Linked DNA regions of Tribolium castaneum. The protein of the gene in region 1 purifies or fractionates together with the protein of each later gene. This does not show direct contact. Links are inferred from orthologs where the notes say so. Each region holds a gene or a part of one and is shown on either strand. Other genes may lie near its edges.

Evidence for each region.
Region 2: the proteins of protein NDUFAF4 homolog (region 1) and ND-13B purify together in Homo sapiens (co-immunoprecipitation; 3 studies listed by BioGRID and IntAct, with this or other methods). This does not show direct contact. The link is inferred for Tribolium castaneum from reciprocal best matches to the Homo sapiens genes NDUFAF4 and NDUFA5.
Region 3: the proteins of protein NDUFAF4 homolog (region 1) and 140up purify together in Homo sapiens (affinity purification with mass spectrometry; 3 studies listed by BioGRID and IntAct, with this or other methods). This does not show direct contact. The link is inferred for Tribolium castaneum from reciprocal best matches to the Homo sapiens genes NDUFAF4 and TIMMDC1.

Annotation. Positions count from the first base shown.
Region 1 is NC_087397.1:10,570,145-10,573,235, reverse strand, and holds protein NDUFAF4 homolog, read right to left. Parts: upstream 1,599-3,091; 5' UTR 1,365-1,598; coding exon 1,220-1,364; intron 1,172-1,219; coding exon 1,083-1,171; intron 1,035-1,082; coding exon 812-1,034; intron 765-811; coding exon 607-764; 3' UTR 536-606; downstream 1-535. UniProt on the Homo sapiens protein: Involved in the assembly of mitochondrial NADH:ubiquinone oxidoreductase complex (complex I). May be involved in cell proliferation and survival of hormone-dependent tumor cells. May be a regulator of breast tumor cell invasion.
Region 2 is NC_087395.1:17,351,292-17,353,634, forward strand, and holds ND-13B (NADH dehydrogenase [ubiquinone] 1 alpha subcomplex subunit 5), read right to left. Parts: upstream 1,019-2,343; 5' UTR 949-1,018; coding exon 577-948; 3' UTR 529-576; downstream 1-528. Other genes in the region: GATOR complex protein Iml1, read right to left, coding at 1,058-1,270, 1,316-1,813, 1,860-2,020, 2,071-2,274. UniProt on the Homo sapiens protein: Accessory subunit of the mitochondrial membrane respiratory chain NADH dehydrogenase (Complex I), that is believed not to be involved in catalysis. Complex I functions in the transfer of electrons from NADH to the respiratory chain.
Region 3 is NC_087395.1:15,888,353-15,891,547, forward strand, and holds 140up (RPII140-upstream gene protein), read left to right. Parts: upstream 1-1,470; 5' UTR 1,471-1,535; coding exon 1,536-1,705; intron 1,706-1,753; coding exon 1,754-1,919; intron 1,920-1,968; coding exon 1,969-2,057; intron 2,058-2,105; coding exon 2,106-2,239; intron 2,240-2,286; coding exon 2,287-2,516; 3' UTR 2,517-2,667; downstream 2,668-3,195. Other genes in the region: glucoside xylosyltransferase 2, read left to right, coding at 11-142, 191-383, 429-578, 628-800, 849-995; twf (twinfilin), read right to left, coding at 2,676-2,831.

The DNA of each region.
Region 1 (3,091 bases):
GTAGCAGCATTCCAATTAGAAATTTTCGGTGTGTCTGTAAGATTTGCTACAAATTTTTGGCAAATAGTATTCCCTTTCTTTGTTTTTAAATCTGTTATGGGTAAAATCACTACGGTTTGCATGTGGAGATGTGCTTCTTCCCTTTGTTATTCATGCCATTAGTTATTAACTACATTACATTTATAATAGCTTTACAAAAATTGTTTTAAACAGCGAGCTATACGCAAAACCTTGTGAATTTACACATATTAGCGCTTGTTTTACAAATTTTGGTTAAATGACTGTATTTTTAGACTTTCTCCCTTAAAGCTCGAGTAGAAGGATATATCCTATAAATATGTTTCAAAAAATATTACTTAAAACGGCTGTAAAACACTGAAAAAATGACTAAAATCCGACACTTTTTAATCCCCTTAATCATAATCTTCGCGATATATTCCTTTGCGGATTTGATAAAAAATGTTTCATCCCCAATTCCGATGGGTGAAGGAGGACCCTATACGGAACAATTTGGAGATGGATAAAGTAGCGTAACTACTTTTAAGTTTTTTATTTTTTTTTGCTATAAATAAACTATTTAAATTGAACTAAATTTCAGTTACATTGTCAGGTATCCCCCTTGTCTTCTTTCCCAGGTAACAGTTGTTTTCTAAGTTTTGGCATGACTCTAATTCTGGGTACACTAGGCCCAGCAAACTTGGCTTTAACTCTTCTTTGTTCAGGAATATAGACTTCAAAAACTTTATAATATTTTAAAACATTTTCTGCAACAGATCATTGGCTATATTGGCTTAAAACAATGGAAAATTACTTGTTATTTCTTCGGGTAATTTATACTCCTTAGAAATAGCTTCAACACTATGTAGTCTACGATCGTGTTGGTGGTCTGTCACAAACTTAAGGACTTGTTTTAGTGAGGCCCTCCCTTCTGGAATTTTTTCAGGTTCTTTAACCCCATATTCAAAATCCTCAACTTGTTGCCTGTTAAGAGGAAGAGGTCTGTTGGGGTTTATTTTCTGTTCTTGCACCGGATTCTAAAAAAATATTTGCAAATTTGACGTTTTTTTTTTTAATTTACTTACAGGGTCATGTGAGGTCACATAAACATCTTTTAAGTAGTTATCCAACTGTTGGTGTTTTTTCTGGCCTTCCCTAAATTCTTCAGGATACTCTTCAAGAATATTACATTACTCAAGCCCTTTCGAATAAACAAACTCACCTCTCATTAATCTTTCATAATCTAGTTGATCACTTTTGTGTTTGGGAGCTGGAGTTGGCTTATCTTTGGATATAATTTTGTGTGCTCTACTCTCGATGTTAAAAGTCCGAAAAGGACGACCCATTAAAGACATGACTTTTCCCATTTTCGGCTTAAAAATTGAGTTGAGGTTAGGTGTAACCTCAATTCTAAAACTTCTTGATGTGACAGTTGACGAAAATTGAAGAAGGACCTCACGTATCCAGTTTTAATTATTTAAGGATACTTGTTTATTTCATAAAAATTGTGTTATATCATAATTTTTATTTTTCTATTCCACACATACTCGGTCACATTGCTGAAACAAAGACAGATTGACGGAGAAAGACAAAGATAAAACGCCTATTATGACCTTTTTTTTGATTTTTAAATCTGTAAATATTTTAAATCAGGGGCGTAGAGACTGAAACTATCAAATACCATGCATGTTTATTTTGCATCTGGGCAGATGTTTAAATTATGTAACTTTAGCACAATTTAAGTTAGCATTTTACTTTTCAAATCATTTATATTAGATCTAAAAAAAAGCTCACAAAAGAAATAATAATTTCTAATTTGAACACCTTTGATACGCTTATGGAACAAACGCTATCTCCATTGTCGCAAGCAGCGCGCATAGCTGCCAAATTGAGAAAACGGAGGGAACTAGGCGTCACATTATTTTCAACTAAAAATGGACGAAACAAGGCATTAATAAATACTCAGCTGGAAAAAATGGGATGTTTTATAATTTCCAAGTAATTGTCTGGGTGCAGACACGATTCGTGAGCTAAAGCAATGGCATTTAGTTCTAAATAAATAGTTTTCTAAGGTTGGCAGATTCTGGAATTTGACACTGTGTAAGATGGCTGGTATCTGAATCTTGGTAAATTGTCTTTGTTTTCATTACAGATTTAAGTGCCTTAAAAAGTGATTTAGCTTTAAATAACCGTACAGTTGAATGTAATTAAAAGTTTATTGTGTGGTGCGTGCGACGTAGCGTAGTGTAGAAGCCCTATGATGGAAATAATGTGTTAAGTGTTCATAAATTCCTCCACATAGAATGAGATAGATTGACAATTGACACTTCAAAATCTGTCAGTTCTTGCAGCAGATTCCATTTGTTTTAGAAGAATAAAAGGTAATTGTTGGCTAGGTTGTTTAAATAAATTTATCCTTGATGAGATGAATTGGTGTTAGACAGTAACAGATTAGATGTCACGCACAATGCCAAAGAATGTATGACTGGAATGCCGTGCGAGTGAGACATTTGATTGTAATTTGGCACATAGCTCTACTAGCGCCTGAAGCACTGTATCCCATACACTATGACAGATGCTATGCCTAATCTTTACACCGATTTATTCCCATTTTAGCCTACGCTTTAATCCACACCAAACGCCCCCTGATTTGTCTCAACTAACGCACAAAATTCGCTTCTCTTCCTAATCTCCGCAGCTAATTGTCATAGTTGCAGCTTTTTATGAAAGCAAATCACCAAACTGGACCATAAGAATGTAAATTAATCAATTAAAACATGCCATACAAAGACACAACCACTCCAATTATTCCTCGGAGACTTCTTCATTTAGCAACTAGGAGCGATTTTGGTGTTTATTAAAATAAAAACAATCCAAATGCAAATGTAATTGAGGTCACATTTAGAACATTTTTTCAGTAATAATTATTTGAAAGTGATTTTCACGGGTGCATAAAAAATTGCAATTGTGCACGCTTATTGGTAAGCGACCTTTTTTACCGCTCGTTATTGGTGCTCATTACGTAATGAATTAACAAGAAATTGACATCAATGGTTAAAATCTAGCAGAGTGTAAAATCACGATTTGTGAGAGC
Region 2 (2,343 bases), on another chromosome or scaffold:
CAACCCCGAAAGATGCCCAAAACGTATCACATCGTTTTCGGCGACATAATGAATCGAAACCGGCGAAAACTCGCCCCATTTGGGCACAGGACGGAACTGGAGGCCCCCCTGTGCGGTGGTGAGTACGAAGCAAGGGTTAAAACGGCGTAAAATTACCTTAAATTGCCATAAATCGTACACAAGTCCAGGACAGTCGATGTAAACACAAGCATTTTAACTTAAAAACAACACGGCAGCAATTTTTTAAACGTCCATTGAACTTCTAACACATCCCACCGTCTTATTCGACAAACACAACGTTAATTCGCTATAATTTTATGTAGAATTTATCACAAATTCTGATACGCTTTTGAAAACAGACATCTAAACTAAATATGGCAGCCATATTCAATGCAAAACAAAGGAAATGTAGCTACGAAACCTACTTGATAATCTCGGACCCACATCCGCTTTCCGGCGCACGGCTCGCCGACAGATGGCGCTTTATGGTAATTTTTCGCGAAAGTCCCTAACAAAGGAAAAAGACACTAGGGTTTATTTATTTATTTCTAATTTTCTAAGCTGTACAACAATTTTCTAACACGTTTTTGGCGGCTTCGCCGGTGGCCAGGCCCACTGGTTCGCGGGGGCCTCCTTCAGAAGGGGCTCCCAAGGCTTCCAGGTCAACATTTTGCGAGCCAGGATCAGTTCATTCTCAGCTTGGACTATAAGTTCCTCGACTTGCCCACAACCCACTTGTCTCTCAATCCCCTCGACTGTCGTATTCTGCTTCAGGGCCTGCGCCCTCTCGTTGACTATCTCCTCGGTGTATTTCCTGTATGCTGCCTCCTGGGGCATCTTCTGCAAGGTTCGCAGGATTTTGCCGTACAACACACCCAAAGTGTGGTGAGGGTTCTTCGAAACGGCCAGCCCCGTGAGCCCCGTCGTCTGCTTCAAAACCCCCGACATAGTTTTGACTTGTTTTTCTTTACGTAATGTTTTTGTGAGGTTATGGACACGACAGTGTCGCCAACACAATTAACTGCTACGAAGTTTAAATTTATTTTACACGATAAAATTATTTCCGCATATAATTGTCTAAACTAAAATTTGTAGAAGCATTTTCTTTGGTAACCCAACTCTCCTCCCAGAAGTTCCTCAATCTGTCGTCAACATTCGCGCAAAACTCTCTAAAGTCCTTCAGAAGTTTGGTCTGGAAGTTGTTATCAACACCTTGGTTTGTGCGCCACCTGCGACTGACCATGTGGTTCCAAGACCATAAAAAACCCATCTAAATCAAATTATTGGTAAAAGGAAACGAATCGGCGCTAATTACCTTTCTGGAATTATCATAATCGTCCTTATTTTTCCCACTGACGTGCCGCGTGATGTAGGCTTCATGGGGGCTGGGCACAACGTCCGCGTGCACCGAGAACCGCCCAGTGGACCTAGGTTTGCTCCCAACTGAGGGGACCCTGCTCCTGGGCTTTAAGGCAGGCCGCGAAATCAGAATAAAAACAGTTCCGGTGCAATGAACGTATTGGTGTTCACGCGAAGTGGCCTCAGGGTTAATAGGCGGCTCCAGCATGCAGTTAATAAACCCGAATCTTTGTATGATCGTCTCTTGCAGCAAAAATAGGCGTTCGAGCGACGACCCGTCTTTGAATTCTTTGAAAATTGTGTCCCGTTCCTCGAGGCATTTTATGTTAAGGGGTACAAAAATAGGGCCTCTTAAGGGGTCGCTTTTGTTAGAATAGGGTAAGGCGAGGGGGTCGTGCGGGATCGGGATCATTTGCAGGCCGCAAGTTTGGGCTTTCCGGTGCCAACTGGACAGCTGCGGAGCGAAATTAGTCGGTTCATTTTAATTTTAAATTGATTACCAGTTCGGCAACAATAGAACCCGATGATGTCAGCCATTCGACAATTAATTCGTAGGCTTGGTCCGGCATGAAAGTCGTTTGGTAGCGGACGTGGCCCCACTCCACGCGGTCGCTTTTACCAGCGACGTCAGTCTCCAAACGCATTCTTTTGTAAATGGTGCCTGAAAAATTTATTGGAAAATTGTTTAAATATTGATTGGTGGGATAATACTCTCGTTCTCGGCGTATTCAACGTTGATGTCCTCGCACAGGAAGTGGGGGACACCGTATTTCCGGTCGCAGTACATGTTGGGTACTTCCACCCCGTTGGTTACGTCCGACAGCCCCCAGTTTAGGGCTGACTTGACCTCGACTTCCAGCCACTCGTTTTCGAAGTTTTGCAAATCGCCGCTCGGTTGAAACGCATCTTTATCATCTATGAATTGCAAATGAACAATTTGTTGTGTTGGTTTTTAGTCCGACAGCTCGCGATTGGAAGAGCGTG
Region 3 (3,195 bases), on another chromosome or scaffold:
TTTATTTCAGTTAAGCGAATGGAAAACTTTAACAAACCATGCGTTTACGTACAAAGTTATGGCTTTGACGTTTCCTGTGAAGGACGCAGAGGAGTGGAAGAGGCTTTTTAAGCCTTGTGCAGCCCAGAGATTATTTCTACCTGTTGTCCTCTACTCAATATTTTCCACATTTTATGAAATTATTTTTTAGAATATTTTAAAAGACGTAGATTCCTTATTGTACATGGATACAGATACGTTGTTTTTGACGCCAGTCGAGAACATTTGGAGCTATTTCCACAAGATGAATTCTAGTCAGATGGCTGCGTTGGCCCCAGAACATGAGGACCCAAACGTTGGGTGGTACAACCGTTTTGCCAAACACCCATTTTACGGAAAATTGGGTACAATTGTGTGACTTTTTTGCACTTTGTAATCCCCAATTTCAGGCGTAAATTCCGGCGTGATGTTAATGAATTTGACCAGAATGAGGGCGTTCCAGTGGAGTGAGTACGTAGTCCCCATTTATAGAAAATACAAATTGAAGATAACGTGGGGCGACCAGGACATAATCAATATAATTTTCCACTACCACCCTGGTATATGACCATTTTTGGTGCGATTTTATAAAATTGTGATTCGTTTTAGGGAAATTGTATTTATATTCGTGTAGGTTTAATTTCCGACCTGACCACTGCATGTACATGAGTGTTTGTAAGCCGGCGGAAAAGTTCGGAGTGGCTGTGGTCCATGGTTCTCGCGGGTTTTTCCACTCAGAGAAACAGCCGGTTTTTCAAGCAATTTATAGAGCTTTTGAAGAGGTTGTTACTACCGATTACAGGAATCTGTAATTGAAAACGCAGTTTTAGTTCCGTCTAGGGGGTGATGTATTCAAGGATTTTTACCAACCGCTTGAAGCCTTTTTGGAACAAGTTCAGAACACGAACTGTGGCCATATTAAAGACATTTTTCTCAAAAACGTGCGACTTTACATTAACATGGAAGACACCAGTTAGTAAGCCAGAGTTTGTTAATGCAACGAAGCTGTCCATCAATGCAGGATATTTTATTTACAAGTGGAGTTTATACTTTTATAAGCTGAATAAATAATTATTGAGCCCTCCACTTGAATTTTCTGGTGATTAGATCTCTCACTGAAAGTATAAATTACATTAGCTATTTTTTTGAAGTGCGTGAATAATTTATAACATAATTTTGAAAGAAAATGAAACGTTATCGTTTTCCTAGTTCTGAAACAGCTAATAGAAATATTTGCATTTACCTGAGAAAAACTAAAAATTCTTTAAAATCTTCGTCTCCTGAATTGATCAACAATAAATAATATCCGTAGAACACAAAGTAAAAACGGTTATTAACACTATAAACGTCGTTAATCCTAAATCTTTAGCACAAAACCAAAAATAAGTTGGACCATTTTTAAATTTTGTTTAAACCAAGATTGGGATGGCGATTTTTTTAGGTTGGTGCACCTGTTTACGCCTTTTTTATGTAGGGAATTTGAAGGTTATGTAACCTAACCTATTTTTTTTTGAAAAATGTTGCGAAAAGTGTTAAAGCCCACAACGTTGTGTGCTCTTTGGCCGCTTGATTTTCTCAATGACAATGATAAGTTGAGGCAAGACACTCCCACCGAGCAAAAAGTTGATTTATCAACTTTGCCGGAAGAGACAGGTTGGGACCGTCTGAAGCGGGTTTTTGAGGCCGAGTCGGTACGAAACCATTGGGCTCCATGTAGTTAATTGTTCAATTGTAGTGACTTTGGTGAGGTCAGCAAGGAATTACTCACTGTTTTACACGTCGGGGGCATGAGTTTGTTCGTGGGGGGCATTTACGGGGGCGTTGTGCACAGTAGGGTGGCCTATGTGAATTTTATGAAGAACAACCAAGCCACGGCTTTTACTGATCATCTCGAGGCCAAGGTATGGCGGCTCTGGCTGTTTTTAAGCGAATTAATTTTGTCCAGTGCAGAAAAAATTGCAAGATGCGGTTACGAAAAGTTTCGGGAAGGGGGCCTGGATGTGGTCGTGGAGGCTTGCCTCGTTCACGATGTCTTTTACGTAAGGAAGATTGGATTGTTGTTGGTATTTTTCCTTGTTATTTATTAGGGCAATTTCAACTGGAATTTCTGTATACCGGGGGAAATCGGGAATTCTGGAATACGTTGTTGCGGGGTTATTTAGTGGTACCTTGTATAAGTGGAATATGGGTCCGAGGGGCTGGGTAGTCGGGGGCGGATTAGGTATTTTCTCAACTAGCCAAGCCTTGGTTAATTTATTTTTGATCCAGGGGCAGTGTTGGGTTTAATAGCAGGCGGTGCCACTTTAGGTTTGTTAAGTTTGACAGGGATGTCGATGGATGAGGTCAGGTACTGGCAGTACCACTGGCAACGAGAGCGGCAAAACTACACAAATAAGGGTATAGCTGAGTACCTTGCCAAGGAAGAAGATGAAGTTGTCCAGCACCACAATAAGAGAGTCGGAAATTCGGGAAAAACATTAGAAAATGTGGCCGAGTAATTGTGATAACTGTATTCATGTAACACGAAAGCGACTGATAGTTAATACTACTTAATGATTTATACAATGAGCTTCAAATACAAAAATATTTGTTTGAAAAAGCTAGTTGAGCGCATGTTAACCGAATAAATAATTTATATAAAGCATACAACCGCCGTTTCAATTGTCCACGTTTTGAGACTTTGTCATTCGTTTTGGTCCTCGGTTTGGTGGCCCTTTCGGTTTGGCAAATTTCGGACGGTGCAAATTTTTTGTTGGGTGTATCTCCTCGTACAGGAACTCTTCGGTCAACTCAGACCCTGAATCAATTTCCAACTGAAATTTTTCCGTTATCAGATGAGTAAAATACTACGAGCGGAACAACAAATTGAACATTTTCTATTCTGTTTCTACTTCGTTAATTACTTATCAACATCAAATTTTTATTAATACTGCTAAAATAATTGTTTATTCAAAAGATTTTTCTCTTCTCATAATAGATCAAGAAAACAATGGAAATTTTTAAAACTAGGGACTTTGTCACAGATCATGAAGAAAACTAAAAGCACTTCGAGTATAAACCGGATGAAGAAATAACATCTAGTAATGGTTATCGTGTTTTTTATTTTATTTGCTTTAAGTTTTTTGTTCGAAAAATAACAATTTTTCTGCAATACAACTCTGTGTTGTCAAAAACATA